Linked DNA regions of Lonchura striata. The protein of the gene in region 1 interacts with the protein of each later gene in a biochemical or structural test. Links are inferred from orthologs where the notes say so. Each region holds a gene or a part of one and is shown on either strand. Other genes may lie near its edges.

Evidence for each region.
Region 2: of the proteins of RB1 (region 1) and CDK2, one has a biochemical effect on the other in vitro, tested with the Homo sapiens proteins (35 studies listed by BioGRID and IntAct). The link is inferred for Lonchura striata from reciprocal best matches to the Homo sapiens genes RB1 and CDK2.
Region 3: the proteins of RB1 (region 1) and JUN form a complex in vitro, tested with the Homo sapiens proteins (2 studies listed by BioGRID). The link is inferred for Lonchura striata from reciprocal best matches to the Homo sapiens genes RB1 and JUN.
Region 4: of the proteins of RB1 (region 1) and CDK9, one has a biochemical effect on the other in vitro, tested with the Homo sapiens proteins (4 studies listed by BioGRID, with this or other methods). The link is inferred for Lonchura striata from reciprocal best matches to the Homo sapiens genes RB1 and CDK9.

What each region holds. Positions count from the first base shown.
Region 1 is NC_134604.1:61,979,136-61,987,093, forward strand, and holds the start of RB1 (retinoblastoma-associated protein), read left to right. Parts: upstream 1-4,951; coding exon 4,952-5,040; intron 5,041-5,225; coding exon 5,226-5,343; intron 5,344-7,958. UniProt on the Homo sapiens protein: Tumor suppressor that is a key regulator of the G1/S transition of the cell cycle. The hypophosphorylated form binds transcription regulators of the E2F family, preventing transcription of E2F-responsive genes.
Region 2 is NC_134629.1:9,321,597-9,329,074, forward strand, and holds the start of CDK2 (cyclin-dependent kinase 2), read left to right. Parts: upstream 1-4,476; 5' UTR 4,477-4,515; coding exon 4,516-4,631; intron 4,632-4,716; coding exon 4,717-4,794; intron 4,795-6,670; coding exon 6,671-6,791; intron 6,792-7,478. Other genes in the region: melanocyte protein PMEL, read right to left, coding at 335-398. UniProt on the Homo sapiens protein: Serine/threonine-protein kinase involved in the control of the cell cycle; essential for meiosis, but dispensable for mitosis. Phosphorylates CABLES1, CTNNB1, CDK2AP2, ERCC6, NBN, USP37, p53/TP53, NPM1, CDK7, RB1, BRCA2, MYC, NPAT, EZH2.
Region 3 is NC_134611.1:7,572,397-7,579,485, reverse strand, and holds JUN (transcription factor Jun), read right to left. Parts: upstream 2,477-7,089; 5' UTR 2,135-2,476; coding exon 1,190-2,134; 3' UTR 512-1,189; downstream 1-511. UniProt on the Homo sapiens protein: Transcription factor that recognizes and binds to the AP-1 consensus motif 5'-TGA[GC]TCA-3'.
Region 4 is NC_134624.1:694,614-701,818, reverse strand, and holds the start of CDK9 (cyclin-dependent kinase 9), read right to left. Parts: upstream 3,003-7,205; 5' UTR 2,968-3,002; coding exon 2,876-2,967; intron 2,318-2,875; coding exon 2,236-2,317; intron 1,826-2,235; coding exon 1,735-1,825; intron 318-1,734; coding exon 151-317; intron 1-150. Other genes in the region: SH2D3C (SH2 domain-containing protein 3C), read left to right, coding at 4,005-4,044, 5,995-6,646. UniProt on the Homo sapiens protein: Protein kinase involved in the regulation of transcription.

The DNA.
Region 1 (7,958 bases):
TCATGTGGTGAGAGGAAGCAGAACTTGGGACCGAGAAGGATGGGAAGGGAGGGATTGTGGCAGGGTCCTTAATATGGCTGTGTAATTGCAACAAGAGGGCTGTGGCTTGCTTGCTGATAGTTATTTCATTAGTAGTTGGCAGTATCAGCTGAATGAACTGCCCTGCAGAGGGGACGCAGGATGCCTTCCCTGCACCCTCTTGGGGCACAGTGTACCCAGGGTTTGAAGTGCTTTGCCAGCCAAGGACACAGGGTGGTACTTGTGTGACAAAACACAGGCTGTGATGCAGCTGTGCATGCAAGGGCATGATTTATACTGATATCCAGGAACCCTTGTAAGCAAGGAAAGCCATACCAGGAATGATCATTTTTTGTCTGATGTAATTGCACTGTCACTAGGGCTTAATCTGATAAATTGCACCAGTCAGTGATTTTATTTTTTAGTACCCTGGCTCTCAGCACTAGTGCAAATCTGTTAAAACAGACACAGCTCTGACAGCCATTCTCACAGAGAACAAAAAATGTGGAGGGTCTGTATAAGTAGTTATGATTCCTCTATAAAAAAATACAACTGAGTAAAAAGAAAGTGACACTCAAGTCTAAAAGCTTGATCAATGCAAAACCTCTCTGATGTCCAAGAAAAATAACTGGAAGTATCTGTGAAGGGTTGAGGTTTTGCACATAGGCATCCTTTAGATGTAGCCATTTCCCCATCCAGTAACAGTGGTGTCCTTTCAGATCCCACTGGCAGTTTGGTCAAATGTTTTATTAATAGAGATTCCTGCCTTAAACTTATCACTGCAGTCCTGAGAGTCCAGCAGTGCCCTGTGTAGTGCTCTGAGAAGAGCAAGCCACCAATGCCTGTAACTGTGGAGTGAAAAGTATTCTTTTTAATAATAATATCAATGTATAGAGAGAGGCTTTGAATTTTTACAAGTGGCAACGTCTGACAGATCCCTCTCATCTTAAAGAGAAATGGGTAGATGTTTGTTATGGTCCCTATGGATTTTACCTCACTGTGGAAATATTAACTTACAGAGGGGGTTTTTATTCTTCATATCTCAGGATGTGTATTTGTGTAGGAAACAATGGCACAAAGGTCAGGCTCACCACCACCAAGAGGAACAACCAAACAGTTTCACCCCATCTCCCCAGTAAACCCTTCCCAATTTCAAAGGCAGAGTGATGCCAGCACAATCACAGAGTTACCAGGGGAGGTGATGCTGGGGAATGCAAAGGGCCTGTTCAAGCCATGGCCTGAATGTCCCTGAGGATCTCCTGCAGCAAGACTGTCACTTGGGTCTGCCTGCTGCACCAGGTGCTTCTCCAAAAAGGCTCTTCTTAAGGCCTGGGGCCTGTAGGGCAGCAGCTGGTGAAAAGTTAGCCTGCACCTCCTTGCTCCTGTTAGCACTCGTGCTGGGGCTTGAGAAGGACAGGTGGGCTCCAGGTGACACTGATGGCAGAGGGCTGGGGGCTGCTGAACAGTGCAAGGAATGTGAATGCACAGAAAAGGCTGGCTAGGAAAGCCTCTGTCCCCTCCCTAGATAATTCTGCCTGTTACATGCAGGAAAATGGGTGTGATACATGCAGACATCTTTATAGTCTTTGAGTTTTACAGCCTATGGGCTTTATTTGAGCAGAAATTCTGCCAATATTTAGTATTTGGACTTATATCCAGAAGCTCTCAATTTAGTGGGGTTTTAAATGCAGATGTTTTGGTCATACAACTTCAGAAAACTGATTTTACTATAATTGAAATAATGGCTTTAATTCCAACTGGCAATTACCATGAAATACTTTTAAGTGAAAAAATTAGGATAATAAAATTACCTAAGGTTGTCTTTTGTTATGTAACAAAATTACCTAAGGCTGGAAACAATGAGTCAGAACTGGACAATGCTTCACATATGTCCGTGACCTATACTATAAAAGCAGTTGGAGTAAGATGCTTAGAATGAAGGTTTTGTCAGATCAGATGCAAAAACTATCATTAATACTTTATTTGACATTGCAGTGTTTTCTTTGTGCTTCCCCAATAGCAGCTGATTTTTTTCTTTCCTTTGTAATTTTACTGTAATTTTACTGAAAAGTCTAAAGGCTTCATTTAGAAGATGTTTTAGAATACAGGATTAAAACTTTCAAATCAGTAAGTCTTAAAAGGAGAAGGGGAAAGAGGTGCAGCAACTTAAGTATGGTTTTACACAAGGATGTGCCTTTCTTTGGAAGTACATACATGTTAACTCTTCTTACTGCAGTTTAGATGTAGTTACTATACCCAAGGCTTTGGGATGGATTATTAAAGGTTATTTTTGCTTGATTCATCTGCTGTTCCCTTTGCCTCCTTCCAGCTGTAAGTTGAAGCATTCTGAGATTATATTTTTTTTTACCTATTTATGGAGGGGAGCCCTCAGAGCCTTGCTTGATGAAAAAGTACCTAAAATTTGACATGACAAGGTGCTTGGTGCACTAACAATTTTTTAAAAATAGTATTTACACTGAGGCTAGTTTGTGAACTTTTTAAAAGGAGCAATGCACAGAGGGCCACGAGACAAATTCTTTGCCTGCCATCTGGACGATGCAGGGCCTGGCTGTAACAGCATGTTAAAGCAGCTGCGAGGGAAGCGACCCAGGAGGGTGTGTTTGTTTGTCTTGCTAACAGCTGGCATGGCCTCCACTGGCTGCAACCAAGTTTTCTGAGATGCTTTGCTCTCATTTTAAATTCTTTTGTGCTCTTAAAGCCAGTTCTGAGGAGAAGGCAATGGACTCAGCTGTGGTTTAGGGGTTCAGCTTACTTTTCCAAGCTGGTCTGTCTACTTGTCTGTGGTTCAGTGGTTGATGACAGACAGTCCTACCCCAAACCTTCCACAGCATCTGGTACCATCTGAATACAAAAAGTATTTAAATGTGCTTAGAAGCAGGGTAAAGCTACTGCCACAATTTTACTAGAATCATAATCAGGAATGTCCAAATCCCACTACAGTCTACAACTCAAACGTTTAATTTGGAGTTTATGTACTTTGATTTGTTCTGTATTCACTTTTCTGTAATTGGTTTAATTCTAATTATAAAGCAGAAAGCCAGACACTGTTCTCCTGTTTTAAGTTAAGAATCATAAAGGACACGCCTGAACAAATTACTAGAATGTATGGTTGTAAAAATACTAGGGAATTTTAATTGTATAACACATTAATGCTCATGCTGATTTTTGTTTGGGATTTTCTTAAATCCAGAGTTTTGACAGCAGTCTCACTAAAAGCAGTTGCTTTACAGGTGAATGACAGATACGTGCAGGTAGTAAGAATACTTACATACAAATACTTTTCCTTTTTTAAGAAGTTGTCATCATGTAAGTCTGAAAATAAACATGCTTGTTTACAGCAGAGATTGGCCTTCTAAATGTGAGTATGCAACTGCAGACAACAAAGCAGATTTCTAAGATCTTTGAATCAGAGCACTGGCAATTTGAATCTCATTGACTTAAAATCCAGATGTCCACAACCTGAACTTTTTACATTAATGTAATTTTACTGCACAGTGCTAGAAATAACATTTCAGTTAGGACTTGGATGAATTCAGATTGAGACGTCACTGAATCATTTAGGTTTGAAGACCTCAGAAGACCTCTGAGATCATCAAGGCCATCCTTTGACTGGTCACCTACCACCTTGTCAATGAGACTATGGCACCAAATGCCATCATGTCTAGTTATTTCTTGAACACCTTTTGGGATGGTGACTTCACTGGGCAGCCCATTCCAATGTTTAACAATCCCTTCTATGATTAAATTCCTCTTGGTGTCCAACCTAAACTTCCCCTGGTGCAGTCTGAGGCCACAACCTCTTGTCCTGTCACTTGTTACCTGTGAGAAGATGCCAACCCTCACCTCACTACAGGCTTTGCTCAGGCAGTTGCAGAGAGCAGTAAGGTCTCCCAAGCCTCCTGTTTCCAGGTTAAACACCCGCAGCTCCCTCAGCCACTCCTCACAGGACTTGCGCTCCGGACCCTTCCCTAGCTACCCTGCCCTTCTCTGGACTTTCTTCTCGAGAGGAGCTGGACACAGTTGAGTTATAGCCCCACCCGTGCCGAGCACAAGGCGACAATCCCTGCCCTGCTCCTGCTGCCCACACTGTTGCTGATGCAGGCCAGGATGCCATTGTCCTTCTTGGCTACCTGGGCACACTCTGGCTTCACATTCAGCTGCTGCCGACCAGCACCCCCAGCTCCTTTCACCCCGGGCCACTCCCAGCCGCTGTGCCACCAGCCTGCAGCGCTGCCAGCGGCTGCTGTGACCGGCGCGCAGGGCCGGCACTTGGTCTCCATGAACCGACAGATCCTAAAGGATCTGCAATTCTTGCTCCGCTCTGCGCCTGTAGTTATTCCGTACAGTTATTCTCACACACCGGCCCGCGTTCCTTCCCAGCTCACGGAAAAGATGTACCGGCTGTGCTCGCTGAGTGCCTGAAGTCTCAGGCACGGCGGGGCCGCCGTTCCCGCGGCGGCTCTGGGGCCGCGCCGCGCCGCCTCTGCCCCGGTCCCGCCCCGAGCCCGGGCCGCGCCGCGCCGCCTCCGCCCCGGTCCCGCCCCGAGCCCGGGCCGCGCCGCGCCGCCTCCGCCCCGGTCCCGCCCCGAGCCCGGGCCGCGCCGCGCCGCCTCCGCCCCGGTCCCGCCCCGAGCCCGGGCCGCGCCGCGCCGCCTCCGCCCCGGTCCCGCCCCGAGCCCGGGCCGCGCCGCGCCGCCTCCGCCCCGGTCCCGCCCCGAGCCCGGGCCGCGCCGCGCCGCCTCTGCCCCGGTCCCGCCCCGAGCCCGGGCCGCGGGCGGGGCGGGGCGCGGCCGCCGGCGCGGAAGTGACGGAAGTGGCGCTGACGCCGTTTTCCCGCGGTTCGGGCGGCGGGCGGGGGCAGCGGCCCCGGTCAGTGCTGCCCGCGGCGGGCGCTCCCGGAGCCGCTCCCGCCATGCCGCCCAAGCCCCCGCGCAGGGCGGGCGCCGCCAGGGCGCAGCGCCCCAGCCCCGACGGCGGCTCCGCGCCGCCCGCCGCCCCCCGGTAAGGGCTCTCGGCGCCCCGCTGCAGGCGGGCGGGCCGCCCCGGGGCTCTCGGCGCCCGGCGGGCCGGGCTGTGGGCGGTGCGGGGCGGTGTCACCCCGGGGCGGCTCCGGCAGCCGGTGGCGTGGGTCTCGTGGTCGCCCCGCGGTCCCTGTCCCCGCTGGCGATGTGCGATGCTTTTCCTAGGGTCGAGGTCGGCGAAGCGGACTTCGCTGCGCTGTGTGAGGCGCTGAAGGTGTCGGAGAGCGTGAGGGAGAGAGCGTGGAAGACGTACGAGAGCTTGTCGGCAGCGGATGGAGCTCTGGTGAGTAGCGGCATCGCTCGGTCTGCCCTGTGCCCCAGCTCAGGCGCTGCGCCCTAGCTTCGCTGCAGCCGCGGCCGGGGCTCCCACAGCCAAAGCTCACGTACTCTGCTTTTTCCAAGCGAAGGTAGACTGAAGTGGGGTGTTGCCATGTTCACGTCTGTGTAAACCGGCTTCTGTAGATTGCTCTTTTTTGTTAATATTTTGTGATAAAAGTGCGTGCTCAGGAGTCCTTTTAGATAACTAACAAGTGGCATTAGAAAATAGCACCATGTGATCAGCGAATTCTTCCAACTGCAAGTTATTTCAAATATGTCTTAATCAGCTTTATACAGGTAGTCTTACTGTGTGTTTCTGTGTATTTTTTCCCCTTTGCATCTTTTATGAAGCTGCAGAAAGGGTATTGAGATGACTGTTGCAGAGACAGTTGCCTTTCTGTTGCATAATGTTAACCTGTGCTTATCAATGAGGCATTTCCGTTCAAATTAGTCATTAGGCATGTGTAAACAGATTAATAAAGCCTTTCTTGATTTTTGCTTTTCCTTCTCCTCAGTATGAGCTGGCTCAGAGGACAGCTGTAATACAGCTAAATCATGGCAAAAGCTTTGTTGTAGAGTCCTGATGCAGTTGCATAATATCTAGCTGGGGTATTATTCCCACCGTGTGGACTTGCATTGATGTACGTGTTCTGACTTCTGCTTACCCTTCTGCAACTTGAGCTGACCTGTCACAGCTATGCTGTCACTACTAATAGTTTGTAATCTGTGTTTTTTAAACTGCAGTGTGGATATACCAGGTCTTGATACATTCACATAATGGACTAACAATATAATGGAAGGGAGACTGCACAGCTCTTTCAGTAACAGATATAATTTCTGGTCATGGGTGTTCATGGGAAACATTCACCTAAAATCATAGTCAAGTTCCTCTATAAGAATGAAAACAGGAGTAGTCATTTCCCTTGATTGAAAAAAAAAAAAACAAGGCAGGTTGCAATATAATCCTGAAAATTTCATTTACAGGTAAAGTTTTGTTTTCACTGATCATTACTTAGCAGTGAACAGATAAGATACATGGTGGTTGAAACCTTTCAGCATCTGGAGATTGCTTCCTTTACCTATTCAGAACCAGACCTTCATTATGATATATAAATAATACCTGTTGTCTTGCAATTGTTTGTTGACAGTCTTTCAATGTACAGGGAAAAAAAAAAATCTACATTTAATTTCAGTCCAAGGCCTTTTGCTCAGACTTAGAGCTCTATCTGCAGGGTGTTGAAATGAGTAAGCTGTCAACTGTGTGCCTCCATGGGGACCTGGAAGGCACTGGAGTTGCTACTTCTAGCTGAGAGCAGGCTTTGTCTGACTCTGAAGTCAAGCAAAGTAACAGCCTGGCTAGTTGCTGCTTCTTTTCCCAAGTCAAGCTCTTACGGCAAGCCTGGCTTCTCAGGACGACTCTGTTCTATTCTTCAAGTTGCAGGGATTCAGGCGGAGGCTGCTCTTTTCTTCCCTCTGGTAAAGGTATTATGTTGGAGGGGCAGTCCCAGGGTTTGTCCTGCAAGCACCAGCTGCATGTGTTTTGATCAGTGAGGTTCAGTAGTAACCTGTTCAGTTCTGAACTGGAGCAGAAGCTGTGTAGCAGCTTTCTGTTCTCAAGCAAAAAGTTAAACAGCAGGCCACCAGTTGAGACAAATACTTACCAGAACACTTCTGTTTAGCAATGTAGTTGGTTTGACTTGAAAAAGCTTAAATCATAAGGCTGCTGATGGAAATAGAGGTAGAATCTAAGAATCCACCTCTCAAGCCATTTACAAAGTACAAAGACCTGAAACCTTGCCTTTCTTGGCTCACTGGCCTTGTTTTATTGTGGTTGATACTAGAATTGTGCCTGCCAAATCTCTGAGGACGTGAAGGGCACTTGTACTGGTAACTAGAAAGCAGTATGGCCGAGACTTTAGGTACCGTGGTAACTGGCAGATACTCAGGGTGCAGATGTGGGTTTGGATGCAGTCTGAACATCTGCCATATCCTTGCTCAGTGCACATTTAATGACTTGAAAACATCTTGCATACTGTCCTTTTTGAGTTGCTTAGGGTGCATGTGTAGAGACTCTGCAAACCAGGTAAATGTGGCTTAGAAGTATAAAGCAATTATTTTTGGCAGGCATTTACACAATAAATTGCTAGAATGTCGTGACCTAGCAGCCTAAATGTGCCTGTGCTTCAGTGAGACATTTTATTGGCCAGGCAGGCGTAAGCCAGGAGGAGAGAACCTGTTATCTGCTACTCCCTGGAATGAATGCCAATGCCCATTGGAGCCACTGCTTTTTTTTCCATCAGATGTCACAACTTTCCACTCTGATATTTTTTTTTCTTTTGAACATTGGAGCTACTAGTGGTGATACTTTGAAATTTCAGCTTTCTTATCTTGCCCTTCCTTTCCAAGCACTTTAGCTTTCCTTGCAGTGGTCTCCAGTTACCTGTTTCCACAGCATGTGAGTCAAGGATATACAGGTGCACCCTATTGCAACTGGGCTGTGAGTCCTTGAAACAGCTGAACCTCTTTGACAGGTGTGGAGGAGGAGCAAGGTGACGAGAGAGATGGTAACACAACTTTTCT
Region 2 (7,478 bases), on another chromosome or scaffold:
AAAACCCCCAAAGAATGGGACTCCGGACACCCCCCACACCCCCAAAAAAACTCATTTATGTCCAAGCCCGAACCCCAATGGGGATTATCGGGGTACAACCGAACTCCGTGACGGATTTTTCTTTAAGGAGAGGCTCTGCACCCCAAAACCCCCAAAATATGAAGCTCCGGGCGCCCCCCGCACCCCAAAAAAATTATGTCACAAACCCGCGAACCCCATGGGGATTATCGGGGTACAACCCAACCCCGTGACGGATTTTTCTTTAAGAGGGGGCTTTGCACCCCAAAATATGAAGCTCCGGACGCCCCCCGCACCCCAAAAAAACCCCACTTACGCCTCTGAGCCTCAGCCAGGAGCAGCAGCACCCCAAAAACCGCGATGGCCCCGAGCCCCCTCATGGTCCCCGCTCGTCTCCCCCCACGCTCGGCACGGCCGGGGCAGAGGCGCCGGGCTCGGGGAGAGCCGCACAAAAAGGGGGCGCTCATTTGCATAGCCACGCCCCCCCAAAAAAGGGGGGGACAGGGGCCGTGACCCCCCCAAATCCGCCCCCAAAATCCCCCCCCCTCCCCTGCCACGTGGGGCCACCCGCGGTCACACGGTGCGGGGGGGGGGGGAGGTTTTGGGGACCCCCCACAAAACGGCGAAGGGGTTTTGGGGGGACCCCCCCCCAAATTCCGGCACGCGGAGAGCGCGGGGATGGGGTTTGGGGGTTTGGGGGTCGGGGTTTTGGGGTTGTTTGGGGTTTTTGGGGTTTGGGATTTTGTGGTTTTGGGATTTTTTGGGGTTTGGGGTTTTTGGGGGACCCCCCCCCCCCAAATTCCGGCACGCGGAGACCCCAGGGATGGGGATTTGGGATTTTTGGGGTTTGGGATTTTTGGGGTTTGGGATTTTTGGGATTCGGGATTTTTGTCGTTTTTGGGGTTTTTGGGATTTGGGACTTTTGCGGTTTGGGGTTTTGGAGTTTTTTGGGTTTGGGAGTTTTGGGGTTTGGGGGGATCATGGGGGTGACAGCCATGGGGGGGGGGTCCCCAATTCTGCACACAGCGGGGGGACCCCCGGTTTGACACTCAGTGAGAGTGGGGGACCCCCAGCCTGGCACGGGAGGGGTGGGGACCCCAATTCCGGGGGGTCACCCGTGGGGGCCCCCGATGACACAGGGGGACCCCGATCCCGGTCGGGGTCTCCCATGGGGGACCCCGATCCTGGTGGGTGACAAGGGGGGGACCCCGATGACACAGGGGGACCCCAAACCTGGTGGGTGACACGGGGGGACCCTGGGGGGTGACACGGGGGGACCCCGATGGCACAGGGGGACCCCAAACCTGGTGGGTGACACAGGGGGGGACCCCAATAATGGACAAAAGGCGGAGGGGTCCCCAGTTCTGCACACGCAGGGGGACCCCGAACCTGGTGGGTGACACGGGGGGACCCCGATTTCAGTGGGTGACACGGGGGGACCCCGATGACACAGGGGGACCCCGAACCTGGTGGGTGACATGAGAGGGGGACCCCAATCATGGAGAGAACGGGGAGGGGTCCCCAATTCTGCACACGCAGGGCGACCCCAATCTCGGTGGGTGACACGGGTGGGAACCCCGATTTCAGCGGGTGACACGGGGAGGGACCCCGATGACACAGGGGGACCTCGATCTCGGTGGGTGACACGGGGGGGACCCCGATCCCGGTGGGTGACCCCCATCTTTCCTGCTCCGGCCGTTTCCGTGCCCCCGGGGCTGTCCCGGTGCGTGCGGGCCCGTTCCGGTGGGGCCACGTGTGCGGAGAGCCCCGTGACCCCCGGGAGCCCCGTGACCCCCGGGAGCCCCGTGACCCCCGTGCGGCCCCCGGGGCTGCTCCCCGTGACCCCCGCGTGTCCGGTTGTGGTCTGGCCGCAGCCCGAGCTGTGGTCCCGGTGTCCGGTCCCGGTGCCCGGTGCCCGGTGCAGGCACTGGCTGAGCAGCCCGGGCAGAGGCTGCGGCGTCCCGGTCCTGACCCCGACCCCATCCTGGTCCCTGTCCTTGTTCCGATCCCATCCTTATCCCGGATCCTGATCCCAAATCCCCGGTCCCGGTCTCAGTCCCGATCTGATTCCCGGTCCTTGGTCCCATTCCCGATTCCGATTCCCGGTCCCGGTCTCGGTCCTTGTCCCTGTTTCAGTTGCTGGTCTCGGTTCCTGATCCCAAACCCGGTCCCTGTCCCTGTCCCGGTCCCAATCCGGTTCCTGGTCCCGGTCCCTGTCCCCATCCCAAACCCGGTCCCTGTCCCTGTCCCCAATGTCCCTGTCCCTGTCCTGTCCCTGTCCCTGTCCCTGTCCCTGTCCCCAAAGTCCCAATCCCAATCCCCTGTCCCTGTCCCCAATGTCCCGATCATGTCCCGGTCCCTGTCCCTGTCCCGGTCCCTGTCCCCGGTCCCTGTCCCTGTCCTTGTCCCTGTCCCTGTCCTGGTCCCAATCCGGTTCCTGGTCCCGGTCCCTGTCCCCATCCCAAACCCGGTCCCTGTCCCTGTCCCCAATGTCCCGATCCCTGTCCTGTCCCTGTCCCTGTCCCTGTCCTGTCCCTGTCCCTGTCCCTGTCCCTGTCCCTGTCCTGTCCCTGTCCTGTCCATGTCCCTGTCCCTGTCCCTGTCCCTGTCCTGTCCCTGTCCCTGTCCCTGTCCCTGTCCTGTCCCTGTCCCTGTCCTGTCCCTGTCCTGTCCATGTCCCTGTCCCTGTCCCTGTCCCTGTCCTGTCCCTGTCCCTGTCCCTGTCCCTGTCCCTGTCCCTGTCCCTGTCCTGTCCCTGCCCCTGTCCCTGTCCTGTCCCTGTCCCTGTCCCGGTCCCCAATGTCCCGATCCCTGTCCTGTCCCTGTCCCTGTCCATGTCCTGTCCCTGTCCCTGTCCCTGTCCCTGTCCCTGTCCCTGTCCTGTCCCTGTCCCTGTCCCGGTCCCCAATGTCCCGATCCCTGTCCCTGTCCCTGTCCATGTCCTGTCCCTGTCCCTGTCCCTGTCCCGATCCTTGTTCCTGTCCCTGTCCCTGTCCCTGTCCCTGTCCCTGTCCCTGTCCCTGTCCTGTCCCTGTCCCTGTCCATGTCCTGTCCCTGTCCCTGTCCTGTCCATGTCCCTGTCCCTCTCCCTGTCCCTGTCCCTCTCCCTGTCCATGTCCTGTCCCTGTCCCGATCCCTGTCCCTCTCCCTGTCCCTGTCCCTGTCCCTGTCCCTGTCCTGTCCCTGTCCCTGTCCCTATCCCATCCCTGTCCCTGTCCCTGTCCTGTCCCTGTTCCTGTCCCTGTCCCTGTCCTGTCCCTGTCCCTGTCCTGTCCTGTCCCTGTCCCTGTCCCTGTCCCGGTCCCCAATGTCCCGGTCCCTGTCCCCATTGCCGCCGTCTCTCCCGGTAGTGTGCCTGTCTCTTTAAGGTATCTCCCGCCTCTCCAGTGACGTCACGCGCGGCTCAGCCAATGGGCGGCGGCGCGGGGGGCGTGGCCGGCGGCAAGGCGGGAAGCGGCGCGGGCGGGGCCGCCGCGGGTTTGGCGCGCGCGGGGGGGACGCGGCGGCCGCGCTCGGGACCCCCGGGAACCCCCCCAGGGACACCCCGGGACAACCGGGGACCCCCAGAACCCCCCCGGACACCCCGGCCCCGCCGGGGACACCCCCGGCACCGGGACTGCCCCGCAGCCCCACCCCCACCCCGGATATCCCTCCCGGCGACCCCCAGAACCCCTCCGGGGCACCCCCGGTGACACCGGGACACCCCCGGGGACACCCAGAGACCCCCGGGATAGCTCCGGAACCCCAGCCCCACCCCGGATATCCCTCCCGGGGACCCCCAGAACCCCTCCGGGGCACCCCCGGTAACACCGGGACACCCCCGGTGACACCCGGACACCCTCGGGAATACCCAGAGACCCCCGGGATACACCCGGTGACACCCCCGGATCCCCACCCCCACCCCGAATATCCCTCCCGGGGACCCCCAGAACCTCTCCGGGGCACCCCCGGTGACACCGGGACACCCCCGGTAACACCGGGACACCCCCGGTAACACCGGGGATACCTCCGGGGACACCCAGAGACCCCCGGGATAGCTCCGGAACCCCAGCCCCACCCCGGATATCCCTCCCGGGGATCCCCAGAACCTCTCCGGGGCACCCCCGGTGACACCGGGACACCCCCGGTAACACCGGGGACACCCCCGGGGACACCCAGAGACCCCCGGGACAGCTCCGCAACCCCACCCCGACCCCAGATATCCCTCCCGGGGACCCTCGAGGATACCCAGAGACCCCCAGGGACACCCCCGGTGACACCGGGTACACCCCCGGTAACACACAGAACCCCACCGGCGACACCCCCGGCGACACTCAGGGACCGCCGGGGACACCCCCAGACCCCCGTGCCACCCCCGGCAATCCCCGCCCTTACCCCGGGTATCCCTCCCTGCGACCACCGCCCACCTCCGGGACCACCCCCGTCCCCATTCCCAGTGTGCCCCGCCACTCCCGGTGTCCCCCCGCCACTCCCGGTGTCCCCCCCGGTGTCCCCTCCATGGAGAACTTCCAGAAGGTGGAGAAGATCGGTGAGGGCACCTACGGCGTGGTCTACAAGGCCCGCAACAAGGTGACGGGAGAGGTGGTGGCACTCAAGAAGATCCGCCTGGACACGTGAGTGGGGGGTCCCGGGGGGTCCCGGGGGTCTCCCGGGGGGTCCCCGGGCTCACGGCCACCCCCGGCGCCGCTGTCACGGCAGGGAGACCGAGGGTGTCCCCAGCACGGCCATCAGGGAGATCTCGCTGCTCAAGGAGCTCAACCACCCCAACATCGTCAAGTGAGGCCGGGGGTGCTGGGGGTGGGTTTTGGGGGGCTCTGGGGGGAGCTGGTAATGGGGAGGGGTCCCCGGGATTGTCCTGGGGGGTTTGGGGGGACGTGGTAATGGGGAGGGGTCCCCGGGATTGTCCTGGGGGGTTTGGGGGTGGTGGTAACGGGGAGGGGTCCCCGGGAGTGTCCCGGGGGGTTTTGGGGGGCTTTGGGGGGTGATGGTAACGGGGAGGGGTCCCCGGGAGTGTCCTGGGGGGTTTTGGGGGTGATGATAACGGGGAGGGGTCCCTAGGATTGTCTTGGTGGGTTTTGGGGGGAGCTGGTAATGGGGAGGGGTCCCCGGGATTGTCCTGGGGGGTTTTGGGGGGGCTTTGGGGGGTGATGGTAACGGGGAGGGGTCCCCGGGATTGTCTTGGGGGGTTTTGGGGGGAGCTGGTAACGGGGAGGGGTCCCCGGGATTGTCCTGGTGGGTTTTGGGGGGAGCTGGTAATGGGGAGGGGTCCCCGGGAGTGTCCTGGTGGGTTTTGGGGGGAGCTGGTAACGGGGAGGGGTCCCCGGGATTGTCCTGGGGGGTTTGGGGGTGATGGTAACGGGGAGGGGTCCCCGGGAGTGTCCTGGTGGGTTTTGGGGGGAGGTGGTAATGGGGAGGGGTCCCCAGGATTGTCCTGGTGGGTTTTGGGGGGAGCTGGTACTGGGGAGGGGTCCCCGGGATTGTCCTGGGGGGTTTTGGGGGGAGGTGGTAATGGGGAGGGGTCCCCAGGATTGTCCTGGGGGTGTCTCGGAGGGTCTTGGGGGGCTCTGGAGGGTCCTGGTGGGCTTTTGGGGGGTTCTGGGGGGGAATGTCACTGAGGAGGGGTCCCCAGGAGTGTCCTGGGGGGGCTTTGTGGTGTCCCTGTGGCCATGGGACCCCTGGGGCTGTGGTGTCCCCGTGTCCCTGTCCCTCTGTCCCTGTCCCCAAGCTGTCCCCGTGTCCCAGGCTGTGTCCCAGACTTTGTCCCTGTGTCCCTGTCCCTGTGTCCCTGTCCCTGTCCCCGTGTCCCTGTCCCCATGTCCCTGTCCCCAAGCTGTCCCCGTGTCCCAGGCTGTGTCCCAGACTTTGTCCCTGTGTCCCTGTCCCTGTGTCCCTGTCCCTGTCCCCGTGTCCCTGTCCCCATGTCCCTGTCCCCAAGCTGTCCCCGTGTCCCAGGCTGTGTCCCAGACTTTGTCCCTCTGTCCCTGTCCCCGTGTCCCTGTCCCTGTCCCCGTGTCCCTGTCCCCATGTCCCTGTCCCCAGGCTGTCCCCATGTCCCCAAGCTGTCCCCAGGCTGTCCCCGTGTCCCCAGACTGTCCCCATGTCCCTGTCCCCGTGTCCCCAGGCTGTCCCCACACTGTCCCCACGCTGTCCCCGTGTCCCTGTCCCCGTGTCCCTGTCCCTGTGTCCCTGTCCCCGTGTCCCTGTCCCCGTGTCCCTGTCCCCATGTCCCCAGGCTGTCCCCAGGCTGTCCCTGTGTCCCTGTCCCCATGTCCCAGGGCTGTCCCCACACTGTCCCCAAGCTGTCCCCGTGGTCCCAGGCTGTGTCCCAGACTTTGTCCCCATGTCCCTGTCCCCGTGTCCCCAGGCTGTCCCCACACTGTCCCCACGCTGTCCCCATGTCCCCAGGCTGCTGGATGTCATCCACACAGAGAACAAGCTGTACCTGGTGTTCGAGTTCCTGTCCCAGTGTCCCTGTCCCTCTGTCCCTGTCCCCAAGCTGTCCCCGTGTCCCAGGCTGTGTCCCAGACTTTGTCCCTGTGTCCCTGTCCCTGTGTCCCTGTCCCTGTCCCCGTGTCCCTGTCCCCGTGTCCCCAAGCTGTCCCCGTGTCCCTGTCCCCATGTCCCTGTCCCCAAGCTGTCCCCGTGTCCCCAGGCTGCTGGATGTCATCCACACGGAGAACAAGCTGTACCTGGTGTTCGAGTTCCTGCACCAGGACCTCAAGAAGTTCATGGACTCCTCCTCGCTCAGCGGGATCGCGCTGCCGCTCATCAAGGTGGGACCCCGAAACATCTGGGGGGGCCCTAAAACATCTGGGGGGGCCCTAAAACATCTGGGGAGGCCCTAAAACATCTGGGGGGGCCCTAAAACATCTGGGGGGGCCTAAAACATCTGGGGAGGCCTTAAAATATCTGGGGGGGCCTAAAACATCTTGAGGACATTGGGGGAACCCTAAAGCACCTTGTGTCATTGGGGTCCCCTGGGTCACTCAGGGGTCACTCAGGGGATGTCCCCAGTGTCCCAAACGATGTCCCCAATGTCCCCAGTGATGTCCCCAATGTCCCAAACGATGTCCCCAATGTCCCAAACGATGTCCCCAATGTCCCCATCGCTGTCCCCAGAGTCACCTGTCCCATCTGCTGCAGGGGCTGCTGTTCTGCCAGGTGACCCCAAAACCCCGAACCCATTCTGGGGGTCCCCTGGGTCACTCAGGGGTCACTCAGGGGTCTGAAACGATGTCCCCAATGTCCCCAGTGATGTCCCCAATGTCCCAAACAATGTCCCCAATGTCCCCAATGCTGTCTCCAGAGTCACCTGTCCCATCTGCTGCAGGGGCTGCTGTTCTGCCAGGTGACCCCAAAACCCCAAACCCACCCCGGGGGTCCCGTGGGTCACTCAGGGGTCACTCAGGGGTCTGACCTTGATGTCCCCAATGTCCCAAACAATGTCCCCAATGTCCCCA
Region 3 (7,089 bases), on another chromosome or scaffold:
CTGTTGACAGCAGCATTGTCATAAATATTAACAGACAAGAATCACCTCCTACCTGAGAAAATACAGGGATAAAGGTGAATATTTTTATTTTTGAAGCCTACAGCATAGTTCTCTTAATACAGCCACCTGCCTTATCTTCTTGAGGGCATTAATTTAATAAAAAACATGTCAGATCAAGTAGCCAGTTGCTCCAGTTATGGAACAATTTTGTTCCCTGCCTTTCCATCCCTCCACAACCCTGCCTGAAGTCAGATGTCTAAACTGGGCCCCAAGAACGAGGCAGGCAGGCAGGCTGCAGCTGGGGAATCCAACTTCAGGACAGCCCCAGAGGTTGTAGGAGTTTAATGAGGACGGTCTGGCTTCTCCCTCCCCTCCTCACACCTTCTCCAGGACATGTCTGGAGTTACAGAGTAAATTCAGCATAATCCCTACCCTTCAGACTGCAGCCCAAAGGGCATTTTCCCAACTAAGGTACTAGCCAAAAATAAAAAAAAAAAGTGTGAGGGGAAAATACATTTTAATTATTTTATTTTTCTTAAATATAATAGAACCTTCTAGAATTTTTTTCCAGAAACAGAAACATTAAAAAATTATACTTTATTACAAATGGTAAACTCAGAGTGCTAAAAAAAAGCCTCTTATTTACAAACAATACTGGGCAGTGCCCAAATAAACAACATAAAAATAACTTACAAAGTCATGAAGTAGTTTATTGACATTAATCAACTTTCATAAAATAAAATAAAAAAAGATATGTACATACACAATTTACTTGAAGGCAGGCAGAACAGTTCTTTTTTTTTTTTTTGTTTATCAGCCTCCCACAAACCTCCCTCCCACTTTTTTTTTTTTTTCTTAAGGAATACTACATAAAGCAATCTACAGTTTCTATTGCAGTTTAACCTTTAATACTGAATGATCATCGAATGTTAGGTCCATGCAGGTCTTGGTCAATGTTAAACGAAGATCTGACATCTCATCCGAGCAGGAGCAGCACTTCCCGGAGCAGCGCTGCCCGCTGCGCTCCCGGCTCCAGCCCAAGGCTTTGCCAGTCTTTCCACACATGCGCTTTGCGGAGCACAGGCAGGACAGCCCCTCAGCTCTTTGCCATTAGCTTTATGCCTCTGCCACTTTGGATTTTTCCTCTTTTAGTTGTACCACAACACACAGTTCTCGCCGAAGAGTCTCTTCAAAACGTCTGCAACTGCTGTGTGAGCATGAGCTGGCACCCGCTGTTGACGTGGTTCATGACCTTCTGCTTAAGCTGTGCAACCTGTTCTCTGAGCATGTTGGCAGTGGATGCCAGCTCTGAGTTCTGGGCTTTCAAAGTTTTCACTTTTTCTTCCAACCGGGCAATCCTTTCCAACTTCCTTTTCCGGCATTTGGACGCCGCGATTCTGTTCCTCATGCGCTTTCTCTCGGCTTTGATTCTCTCCTGTGACTCCATGTCAATGGGGGACAGGGGAGGAGTTTCCCCCGGCATTTCAGGTACAGTCTGCGGCTCCTCTTTCAGAGCCTGGAGCCGGGGATGCTGCACGGGCATCTGCGGGTTTATGTGATGCTGGGGCGCGTATCCCATGCTGTTGGCGTTGTAGCTGGGCGCGGAGCTGAGCGCGTTGGGGTTGAAGTTGCTGAGGTTGGCGTACACCGGGGGCTCGCTGTGCAAACTGGTGTTGAAGCTGGTGCTGCCGGCCATGGAGGACACAGGTGCCATCCCGCTGCTGACGGGCTGGGCGGCCGAGGTGACGCTGGGCAGCGTGTTCTGGTTGTGCAGCTCCGCCAAAGCTCTCACGAAACCCTCGGCGAACCCCTCCTGCTCGTCGGTGACATTCTTGGGGCACAGGAACTGCGTCGGGGTCGGCGTGGTGGTGATCAGCCCGTTGCTGGACTGGATGATGAGCCGCTCCAGCTCGGGCGAGGCCAGTTTGAGGAGCCCCACGTCGGGCGAGGTGAGGATGTCGGCGTTCTTGTTCCTCAGGTGCGGCTTCAGGTTGCTGGAGGGGTCGGACAGGTTCAGCGTCATGTTCTGCTTCAGCACCTTGGCGTTATTGTATCCGTACCCGCCGCTCTCCGGCGGCGCGAAGCCGGCGCTCAGCGCATCCTCGTAGAAAGTAGGCTCCATCTTTGCACTCATAGAACACAGTCCGGGGAAGGGAAGCTGCCCGGCCGCCGCTCAGCTCCCCGCGGGCACCCCGACCCTCCCGGGGAAGGGGAACGCGGAGCCGAGGAAGGAGAAACGCGGAGCCTTACTGGATCGCCGCTGCCGCTGCCGCGCTGAGAGCCCGCCCGGCCTGGCGGGGCGCCTCGCCTCCCTCCTCCTCCTCTCGCCGGTGGTGCCGGGACGCCGCTCCGCCGCCACAAGTACTTTCCCTGCCCGGCTCCGCGCTATTCCCGCTCCACCGTCCCGGCGGCCGCGCTCGCTCGTTCACTCGCTCGTTCACTCGCTCGCTCCCGCCACCCCGCGCTCTGCGCCCGCTCCCGCCGTGCAGCCCTTCACTTATCAGCGGCCGCGGGCCCGCTAAAAATAGCGCATGATGTCACCCCGCGCGCTCCCCATTGGCTGCTGCCGCCCCGTCCCCGAGGGGGGGGCGGGGCCAGGGCCCGGCGCGCGGTCGCCATGGCCACCCCCCGCCCCCCCCCCACTTCAGAAGCTTCTTGAGCGCGCGGGGCCTTGTGGGATGACGTAATGGCGGGGGGGGCGCGCGCGCGGGGCAGTGTGGGCTGACGTCTTTTTGTTTTTGAACGATCCGGTTACCGCGGGCCGGCCGCCGCCGGTGCGCCGAGCCCCGTCCGTCCGTCCGTCCGTCCGTTTGTCTGTCTGTTTGTTTATCTGCCTGTTTGTTTGTTTGTTTGCGCTGCCTGCGCCGCGTTCCGGCGCTTCCCTCCCCCCGCCGCCGGTCCGGCCCTTCAGGTGGCGGCGCTCCCGGGGAGCCCCACGTGGTTTCCCCGTCCCGCCGCCCCCGCCGCTTCCAGGCAGCGCCGCGGGCGGCACCGGCGGCTCCCCCGCGCCGCCCGCCCGGCCCGGCCCGCCCGGCCCCCGGGGCCCTGCCCGCCCGGGCCCCGGGGCTCTGCCCGCCCGGGCCCCGGGGCTCCCCCGCGCCGCCCGCCCGGCCCCCGGGGCTCTGCCCCCGCGCCGCCCGGGGAGTCCCCGCTGGCCCGCCCGGCCCCGCGGGGTTTCGCTGGGGGTTCGCCTTCGCCCCCGCACCTCCGCCCGCACCCGCCCCCGGGCACGGCTCTGCCTCCACAGAGAGCCGATTCCCGGCCTCGGGAATAGCCGGGAGAACACGGAGGGGAAGTAAAACCCGACAGGAAAAAGCCGGGTTACGGATGGGTTTCTCTGAACTCGTCCTCCAAGGGGAAGGGACAGCGACGGCCTAATTTTAGACAGTGTCCCAGTATTGCTGTGGAATTGCAGGTTGGGCGGGAGGGAGAATAAGGGCTGGAGCCGGAGGATCGCGGCGGAGGAGAAAAGTCCCCGCTGGCAGCAACAGATGGGAGCTGTGCCTCGCTGCGCTGCTCCGTGCGGGCAGAGCGCTGATCACAGGGATGCGCTTGCCTTCCCTTGCCCCGCACACCCCCTTCTCTCGGCGTGCTGGGGATTTGGGATTGCTGCCACCGCTGGAGTAAAGTGCAGCAGGTATTTGAGGACAGGCAGTGACAGGACGGGGTGGCACAGGGACTGCAGGGCTGTCCTGGTGGGTTTGATTGCCAGCAGTGCAACAAGTGCTCCTCGTGCTTCCAACTCGAAGCTGTTGGCTTGCTGCTGTTCAGCTTTTTGTCAGTGCAGAACTTGATCTGTCAGCTTGAACCCCTTCACACGACATGTGAAGCTAACAAACTTAGGTTCATTTTGAAAACACCCTTTCAAATTCCCCAGTTCTATTTTTTTCCTGGATGTAATGACATAATTACCAGTTACCGTATAGAAAGGAGCAGCGAAGCAAACAGAAACATCAGCATCTATGAAAGAAAAGTGAAGGTCCAGCTCCCCTCTTGGAAGTTGTTGGGGATTTTTCCTTCTGCGTTGTTCCCACCTGACTTTGGCCACATGGCAAGCACTGGTGTTAACGGGAATGATGGAAATAATGCATGCAGTGTGTTAACAGTCTGTAGCACAAAATAAAAAAAAAACGTTTTGGACTGGATGAGGGGGCTCACTGTGTGCTGCTGGTGTCTGTACAGCCTTCACAGAGTTAGCATCTCTCTGGGCTGCAGGTAACTCAAACTTCAGCTGGGTAAACTGTTCAGCCAAACAGCACTAAGTTACTGCGCATGCATAAGAAAATCTCAGGATTTCATTAATGCAGTGAGCACTCAAATTAATTCCTTTTAATGTTTACATACAAGATAAATAGAGACCTGTGGCTGACTCTTCTGGCCTCAGAGCCAAGGGACATCAAATGAAACTGGCAGGTTCGGAACAAACCAAAGAACTGCGGTTCAGCGCTGGAACTCCCTGGCAAGGGTGGACGGAGGGATTTTAACGTGATGGATGAATTCACGGAAGAGAAATCACTTTAGGTCTGTGAATCACGGAGCATCTACACTGGCTCTGGAAATCCTAGGGCTGCAAATGACTTGTGCCCGGGGGGCATCCCTGGCTTGGGGTGGCTCCCTAGGGACCCACTCCTGGCCCCTGTCAGAGATGGGGATCTCGTGTGGCCGTCCTTGAAGTGTTACAGCCCCCGGGGATAGCCCATAAATGATTTCAGTGTCACCCCGCAGTTTTCATGTTTATAAAGGGCAAGGAAGAAAATCTGAAGAAATGTAAGACTTGAATTCGAGGTCGTTTGTTGTATGGAGTTTTTTATTTTGAAATAAATGATTTTAAATATTTCCAAATGAAGCTAAAAATGGGGGTATCTGGTGCATAGGAAGCCACACAATTAATTTGCTGTATAGACAAATACTATTAAAATTTATTCTGATTACCTTTATGTATTAGTTGGTTGTGTTGTTTTGTTTTATCTTTTGGAGTTTTCTGCTGCATGTTTCTTCTGTCCTAGAAAGCAAAATTCAAACTATGAGGAACATGGTCAGCATAGCTTAAACCACTCTATTTATTACAGATTTGTATAACCTGTAAAACTGCCTTTGGAGCTCACTGATCTGCAAGGTTTTGATTAACTTCAGTAAGGGCTGGATCAGGCGGGAGGGATTAATTTAATTTAATTTTTTTTTTCCCCTCCACCCATTTCAGCTCTGTACTTCCTTCCTCTTGCAGAGGCGGGGTTGGGGAGCAGACATTCCAGTTTGGGAGCTGGGGCCCTGTGGCTCTGGGGACACCCATTCCCGTCACTGCTGCTCACTGCAGGTTGTTCCCTGCCACAGAGAGCCAAGGTGCTTGTGAAGGTTCTGCGGAGCAGCAGAGCACTGAAATCAAAGACAGGAGCTCCTGGCTGCTCCCAGGGGATTTCCTGCCTAGCTGGGGACCTTTGGGAGGGTTTGGCTGAGATTTCAGTCCCAAAATCGGCGCTGACACACTCAGAGTGGAGCAGATCCAAAAGCAGGACCCATGGATAGTGATCCTTCATGGCCATTAGCCAAGGAGCTGGTGGCTATGCTCTGATTTATTAAACACCTATTAATTCCAGGCTTTTATTCCCCCTTTCCTGACATCCTTAAGAAAATATTCCTTTAGTAGGATGAGGGAATGCTTCCTGACCCAGGTACAAACCAGAGCCATTTACATGGCTCAATAAACTAACTTGTGGCTAGGAATTGCCAATCCCTGCCCTGTATTTCTGAGAGGCCGATGCGTTGAGCAACAGTAATGCACATTTTGATTTATAAGCTTCTCTAATCAATCAATAGAAGCTTGAGTGAGGCAATCAGATAATCTGAATAATTAAATGGCTTTTCAGGGACAAATTAAAATTTGTTGCACACACCACATCCATCTAAATTATATTTGGTGTCCAGGAATAAATGGGTTTGCTGGTTTGTTTCACTCCTGCATCTCAAATGATTTTGACTTACTTCAAAATTATTTGGGAAAAAAAAAAAAAAGGAAAGAAAAAAGGATAAATGTCAGTTTCTGATTTTTTTTTACATTGGAAAGAGTGGTCACAGAAAAAAAAAATACTTTTTCCCATATAGTTTTATTACATGTATATTAAATATTTCAATATATATTTTTCTTTAGACATGTCAGAATATTTTGCTTTTTCTTCTCCTCAGAGAAGTTTCCATAACACCTTTATTGTATAGAAAATTATTATGTAGATTTTTTGTCTTCTTTTTTTAAAAAAACAGGACTTCACACTTTCTAAATGTGATATCCTTCTTCACATCTTAAAGTGAGTAAAACTGGGAAATCCTGGATTTTTGCACACTTGCTTAAGGAGTTACTATAGACCAGTTTTCTCCAACTGGGGGAGACAAGAGTTTGAAGAGTCAGAAAGCAAAAGTATTTTTCTCTTATTTACTCCATCAAGGCACAGTAAAAGAAGGTGGGAGTGAGAGGGTACAAGGAATAGAGTTTCCTTAGGCCAAGTGGAAGTAAAATAATCATTCCCGGGTTCTGCTGGTCCCAGTCCCTCGCCGGTTCCTCGGGGCGTGTTTGCGTCCTCGGTTCAAGTGGGTCCAAGTCTGCAGCACAGCACAGGCGTGGCACAGCTGCCACCTCATCCACCCCCAGCTTCCGTGGCCTCTCCTCCTGCTCTTTGCTCCCAGCAGGACTCCTGTGGCCAGGTGGAGATCCAGGAACTGTGGCTGAAATAAAAACAAATCAATACACCTGGGGACACAGGGGAAAGGTGGGAATGGATAAGGCTGGGGGAAGAGTGGGACTCGCAGCTTGATGTGGAGGACTCTGGAATCAAAACTCTAAAAAAGCCCAGCCAGTGTTGAGTGAGTGTTCATTTTGCACATGAAAAATGCTCTTCAGAACCACAGGCACTTGTAAATGAATATCGTGTCCATCTCCTCCACCCTCCATTAGTCATCGCATAACCAAGCCGTACGCACTCAGTCCTTTTCATCTTCCTTCTTGTCAAGCCCTTTAGCCTGTCCCCCTCACCTACTCATCCCACCAATCATTTTAATTAATCTCTGAATTTCTTTGAAACTAATAGTTTGTGGAATAGG
Region 4 (7,205 bases), on another chromosome or scaffold:
AAGTGAATGCAGTGCCCTCCTTAGGTGCCTTGCGCCAGCACAATGTTCAGGCTGCAGAGGTGGGAAACAAGGATTTCCCTCCAGCCTGTGCTAAGACACCTGCTCCTTGGAAAGTCACCCTCTGAGCACAGCAGAAGTCTTTCCCATTACCTTGTTCCTGTGGATGTAGTAAAGTCCATTCAGGAGCATCTGCATAACTTTCTTAATCTCTGACAGTGTGAACTTGACATGGGCGTTGCTGAGAAGGCCAGCCAGGTCGTGCTCACAGAAGTCAAACACAAGGTAGATGCTGCCCTTGCACCGGTTGTACGGAGAGGCTGCGGGAGAGGCACAGAGAGGCTGCCAGTGAGGGACCTTTCACTGGGTCACAGCTCCTCTCACCTCCCACTCATACAACACCCCCTACACAGAATCTCAGGGCACGGGAACACAGAGAACCAGACAGCCTGCAGGCCTCAAGGTCCTTTTTAAAGAACTGAGCAAAAACTAGCAACACAAGAACGGGAGATGAGGATTGGTGCAGCAAATGTCATCAGAAAGGCAAGGAAAGGGCATGGCAACCTTTGAAAGCTTCACTTCGTGCAGCTCTGGGCACGTAACGGCTGTGGGGTTTCCTCCCTGCAAGCTGTGGCTGCCAGCCAAGCACCAGAGATAGAGGAGACACCCACAGACAGCCCCGGGAAAAATGCAGAAACACAGAAAATCTGTCTAATCTCACATTAAAAAGTGAGATTTCCTGCAACCTCAAACAGGATCTGCAAAAACGGACTGATCTTGATCAAAGTGATATAAAACTCCAATTTTAATTGAATGATAGCAGACTTTAAGTGAAGACTTTAAGTGATAAGATAGCAGACTTTAAGAGATTTTAATCTTGTTCCTAGAGCACCCACGCAAAACATTATTAAAAAGAAAAGCTGATTTTCATCAGTTGTAATCAGCAAACCTGCTGATCAGCATCTCCAGCCGGAAAAGCTTAGCCCCCAGAGAAGCACACTACTCTCCTCCCCAGGAGGGTGCCTGCTACACTGAGTTTGCAGTTCCTCACACAGACACAGCCCCAAACACGCCTTTCCAACACAAAAAGAGAAAAGCCTCATGTTTGACAACAGTAAATGAAACATTTCTACTTTACTGCAAACTGAGGTCAAGGTAGATTTGGATAAAAACTGGAATACAAACAAAACATAAAAAGGGAACAAATGACATGTCTACAAAAATATTTACTTTTGGTATGTGAGACACCCAATCATGGCAGCTCTTTTAATCACAGAGTGAATTACAAATTAACTTGTCATTGGTGTCTTCACTCATACCTATTCAGACAGTAATCTACACACAATTCAGTGTACTGGAGTATCTTGAATTTCCCATCACTAGGCCAGACATTTCTGCCCATTCAGTGACTGGACTTTTTAAATAACACCAGATACAGAGGCTGAGGAGCCTCTGCTCCAAAGTGCTTGTTCGTTTAAAGCCTCTCAGAAGGAGCTTCCCAGCACAGGCATATCCTGGCAGGACTACAACAGCTTTTTCCATCTGAGCTTCAGCAACGTCCTGACTCATTTAGGAACTCTTTTCCAAGGTAAGTAACCTGTCACCCCATGTCACAGGCAGGAAGAGAGGCCCATGCTCAGCTAGACCACTCCACTCCCAGCACAAGACACCAGCCTGCTCACCACTGGCAGGGCTCAGAAAAGCCATCATTGACACAAGGGACACCCTGCAAAGTACCTTTGGTCCTGCAGATTTCTATGAGGTTCACCACATTCTCATGTTTGAGCAGCTGGAGGATTTTAATCTCTCGTAAGGCTGTGATGGGAAACTGGAAAAGAGAAAGAGAGAATGGAGGTTGGAGATGCAGGAGACAAGGCCATCTTTGCCAGAGAACAGGAGGTGTGACCATGCAGCTTGACAGGTCCTCCCCTCCTCTCCTCACCTTTTATATTCACACTAGGACAGGGTACAGCCCAGCCTGAGCTGCAGAACAGCCTCCCTGGCTGCTGCCTTTGCTGTTTAAGCTCTTAACTCTCTCCCCAACCCCTGAGCATGTGTCTGACACATCACCCAGTTCTTCCACAGACACAGCCAGTGTGGAGCCCTGTGCTCAGGGTCCCAGAGGAGAAGAAACACATGGGAAGCAGCCATCCCATGCAGCCCAGTCCCCTCGCTGCTGCCATGTGCCTTTGCAGCCCAGGTGACAACAGGCCCAACCCAGCCATGCCCCACACTCACCCCTTCTTTCTCATTTTCCATCAACACCTTCTTCAGTGCTACTTTCTTGCCTGTCTGGCGATGTTTAGCTTTGAAAACTTCTCTGTTAAAAAAAAAAAAAAAAAAAAAAAAAAAAATTTAAAAAATATCCATGAGCAGCACAAGGAGAAAGGAGCCAGGTGCCCCCACAAGGAACAAGCCCAAACAAGATACACTAAAGCACCACACAGAGAACTCTGTGCTGAGCCAATATAGCCACATTCCCCTGGGCCAAAGGCCCTCAGGACTCAGTGAACCAACAGAGAGCCCAGATCTCTTGCAGCCTTACAAGGATTTCCAGTAATGTAGCACATTTTGAGCAAAAAGCTGTACATTTGGAGCCAAGCTGCACATTTGGAGGCAAGTTACAGGTCGCCACCCTAACTGTTTTCAAGGTTAACTCTGCTCTGGCAGAGCTGGGACAGAGCGGGACCTCAGGTTGGGAAAAGAGGGCCCAGGAAACAGACTGGCTCTCTGAGGGCAGAGGGGCGGCAGGGGAAAGGACACCGAGCAAGGAGCACCCGAGGCAGGCACGATGGGCCGCGGGCTGGGCCCAGCTGCAGGCCTGAGGCTGGGGAAGGCCGGGGCGGGTCATGGAGGGCCGGGGCCGGCGAGCACTCACCCGAAGGTGCCCTGCCCGATCTTGGCGAGCTTCTCGTACTTGGAAACCTCGTCGCAGAAGGGGCACTCGACCATGTCGTACTGCTTGGCCATGGCGGCCGCGCCGTTGCCACAGCACCGCGTCCCGCCCGTTCCGCCACGTGACGCCGTCACGTGACCCGCCCGCCCGCGCGGGGCCCTGTGGGTGTTGCAGTCCCTGGGGCCGCCGCCATGTTGTCCCTCCTCGTGGCCCGGGAGCCCCGAGCGCTCCCCGTGGCCCTAAAGCGCTTTGCTGGGTGCCCCGTGTGTGCTTAAGCACGTCAGGAGTTAAACAAGGCTTCTGCTCCTGCAGCTGCGGCTCTGACGCAGGGAGGCTTTGGCCAGGCAGGAGGACTCCAGGGTCTGGTTCAGGGGACCCTGAGTTCCTCCCCTGGCCGTGACTGTGTTCAGGTGCAGGACAAAGAGCTCCATCTCAGGCTGTTCGAAACCGGTCCCCGAGGTGCACAGCACCAAAGGACCGAGCTGTGGCAGAGGTGGCTGCCAGCGGCTTGCTGAGGGAAACACAGACAGCAGACCCCTGCTGGGTCCAGGCCACCTTGTCCTGCATGGCCACACTGTAATGGAGCACTGTCCCCAGAAGGAGAGAGTGGCTGGTGAGGAGTGCTCCTGCTGGCAGCGACGCCACCCAGCTCTCATCCCACACGGGCTGAGCATCTGACGTGCACGGCAGAGTTCTGTCTGCAGGGCTGGAGCCTCACCCACACAGCTGGCACCCTCACCCAAAGGGCTGTCACGCTCCTCCTAAGGCTGCCACCTTCTTCCATGAGGCTGGAACCCTCTTTCAGGGCTGGCACCCAGAGGTTTTTGGTTGTCCACATCTGGCAGATGTCCCCAAACCGGGGTGCGGAGGTGACTCTCGAGCAGCCAGGCAGGTGCAAGCAGCCACGGGGACTTCAGGAACTGTGGGGACAGCGCGAGGGCGGGCAGGGACAGCAGCGGGGCAGGGAGCAGATGACAGCAGTGGGGAGGAAATGCTGAGCGAGCGATGAGCGGGGTGGCTGGGGGGGCAGGAAGGGAGGAGCAGGCAGGGAAGGGCTTCACAGTTATATACTTGTCCCTCTTAGTCCCCGCGGCCTCCAAGCAGCACGGCCATGGCCGAGGGCCAGAAACGACGGGGCTTCAAGAAATTCAGTAAGTGGCCACGGCACAGGGTGGGCGGGCTCACCTGGACGTCTCGGTGGGTAGGAGGATGTGTGACAGTTAGTGTTGAGTGTGTGCTTACACGCTCCCCAGGTCATCCCATCCAGGGATGGGGTCATCCCAATCCAGGGATGTTTGGAGCTGTGACAGCCTCTGCTTTTGTTAGGAAACTCAGTGGGGTGAGGGACTTTGAGGTTTTCATCCACAGGGCTGGGTGCTGGCTCAGGAGCTGGGTGCAGGGACTGGGACCAGTATGCTGCAGCACAGCCCTGTGCTGGATGCTGGGATGTGGGCAGAGGGATGCACAGCAGGATTTGGAGATTCTTCACTCCTTAAATCATTAAACCAACTTCAGGGTGCATGGCTTGGGTACAAGATGGTGCTGGGGGCCAGGGGTGGCTAGGACCCTCACCCCAGGGTGCTCCTGCAGCACAGGGACGGGGGTGACACAGAGAAGCTGGGGAGGGAGCCTGGGAATGGATTCCCACCGGCTCTTCTGGGAGGAAGTGCTTGATACCCACCGGGAGCGAGCTCTGCACTTTCTCACAGACCTCAGCTTTCCCCCGGAGCTCCGGGGGGAGGCTGCAGTGGCCTTCACCCCATTCCCAGCGCTGGGCTGTGCTCTTGCATTCCTGCCACGGGGCTGGCGCCAGAGGGGGGTCAGTCCCTCTGCTCCCCCGGGACCCCTCCACTGGCCAAACCCAGGGCCCCATCCCAGCTGGGATTTTCCTTTGTGGTGGAGTGGCGTGGAAATTGAGAAAATCCTCAGGGCTGCCTTTCCCACCTTTCAGCAGCCCCAGGAGCAGCAGGTAGCAGAAGATGCTTGGACTCCAAGGGGATGTTTAGCACAAAGTAATTTTGCCTCTAACTGCACTCAATGAGGTTTCTGCCTCACAGAGGGGCTTTTGGGATGCAGCCCCTCCACCCTGTCCAGCTGCAGGGATGCCCCACAGAACCCGTGGATGGCAACTGGAGGTGGGAATCCAGGGGCTGAGCAGCCCGGGACACCCTGGTCCTTGCTCAGCACCTCTGCAAAGTGTCGCTTCCTGCCCCAGCAAATCTGCCGTGCTTCGCAGAGCCCCGGGGCGGCATCAGCACTGCAAAATCCCCGGTGGGAACCACGGCGGCAGGGAAGCGCTGCTCAACAGCACTGCAGCCACAGGCTCGCTCAGCCCGAGCACCGGCACCGGCACCGGCACCGGCACCGGCACCGGCACCATCCAAGGCTGCGCTGCGGTGACACACAGAGCCGAGCTGGGGCTGGGGTGTGAAATGCAAAGCCGCCCGCCGCAGTTATAAATATTTCTCCGGCGAACATGTTCATGCTCAGCACTTGCAGGTGGCAGCTGGAGCTGGCGAGGGGCCGGGCGAGGAAGTGGGGAGGTTATCTGCTGCCGCAGCAGCGCCCGTGGCTGGTTCCTGCTCCATCGTGCCGGCGACATGCACATGTGGGCAGGTCATGTGCATCCAGGACCCCCATTCCCTAGGGAGATGCCGTGTGGCCCATTCTTGCATCCTGCAGGGCTGCCCTAAGGTTGCGGGGATGGGCATAGCTCTGCCCAGAGGCCCCTGGAGGAAGTAGGTGTTAGAAATAACTTTTAGAGTTGCCTGCTCACCAGGGTTGGGTGTTTCCTCCCCTCCTCAGCCGTGGTAGGGAGATACAGCCGCTAGATTTGCCAGGCACAGGAGACTTCTGCTCCCCGAGGGACCAGGGCAGAGTTCCCAGGTACCCAACAGACATGCCTCAAGCAGCATCATGTACACCACAGACCACAGGGATATCATGCCAAGCTGGGCCTGCAGATGTGGGTGTAACAGGGTGACACCAGGCTGCATAGTGCTCCTTGCTCAGCCCAACCCAGGACCAGGGGCTCTGGGATCCCCCATCATCACACCATGCCAGCAGTAACCCCACACTCATCACTCCTTTCTCCTTGCCAGAGTTTTTCAGGTTCAAAGGCTTTGGGAGCCTGAGCAGCATCCCCCGCTCCTTCACCTTCCGGCGCGTCCCTGTGGACCCCAGCTGTGCCGACAATCTCAGAGCACATGTCCCACCTCCCCACGGCTTCCTGGGAGAGCCCTTTGACAGCACCCAGGATGATCTCAACACCGTGCCCAAGAGCCCTGGCCCCTACGCCCAGTCGTCGAACATGTACTCCCACATGGGCACCATGCCCAGGGTGAATCTGGGCAAGGCAGGGAAGAGCCTGGGCAAAGACAAGAGTAGCCAGAACTGCTGGGAGAAAGGGACTCCCAACAACAAAACCCCCCAGGCAGCCCCACTCCCCAGCCTCAAGTGCCCTGAGATGTCCAGCACCCCTGCCCCAGGCACAGACTCACCCTTGACTGCTGGAGAAGCAGGGCAGGAGGAGGAAAAAGCTGAACCTGGGGACACCGTGGAGGCAGCAATGGACAGGACAGACCAGGAGCCTGTGGGAAACGTCTCCTGCCCTAGGGCAGAGACACTGAGCTCCAGCCTGGCTCCAAACCCCAGCCAAACCACAAGCCCTGACACAGCAGCTGGAGCAGAGACCACTGATGGGGATCTGCTGGAAAAGGGACAAGAGCATCCTGACAAGATCTCCCCAGACAGGTATAACCCTTGAGGTTTGCTCTGCCTTCTGCTAAGACCCCCATTTTGCTCCCCCACAGGGCAAGAGGAGGGGGCTGGGACCAACCAGGGTCACTGCAATGTCCCCTCGTGCCCACAGTGCCAGCGGGATGCACCTGGCCGGTGGGACAACACAGCTGGAGCACGGTCAGGTCAGCGGCTCCATGGGAACGAGGTTTCCTGTGGGATTTCTGCTCCCTCCTGTTTCCGGACGGGGTGGAAACATCTCGCAGCCCCGCTCTGCCCCGGCATCTCTTTGTCCTGCGGCGGCTGCGTTCCAGCACCAGGATGTGCTGCTGCGGAGAGCTCACAGCAGCACTGTTACAGCCTCCTCCGCCTCTCTCCGCTTTTCCACCCCCTCTGTCCTCTCCCCCTCTGCCGAGCAGCGCTGCCTCTCCCAAGGCACAGGGGCAAATCCTGAAACCAGACACTCCGTCCCTATTTCATCACCTACCAGTAAACCCCCACTCTGGGCACAAATTCCCCACTCCAGGCACAATCTCTCCCTCCGGGGGAATTTGGAGGTTCAGCCCTCTGAGAT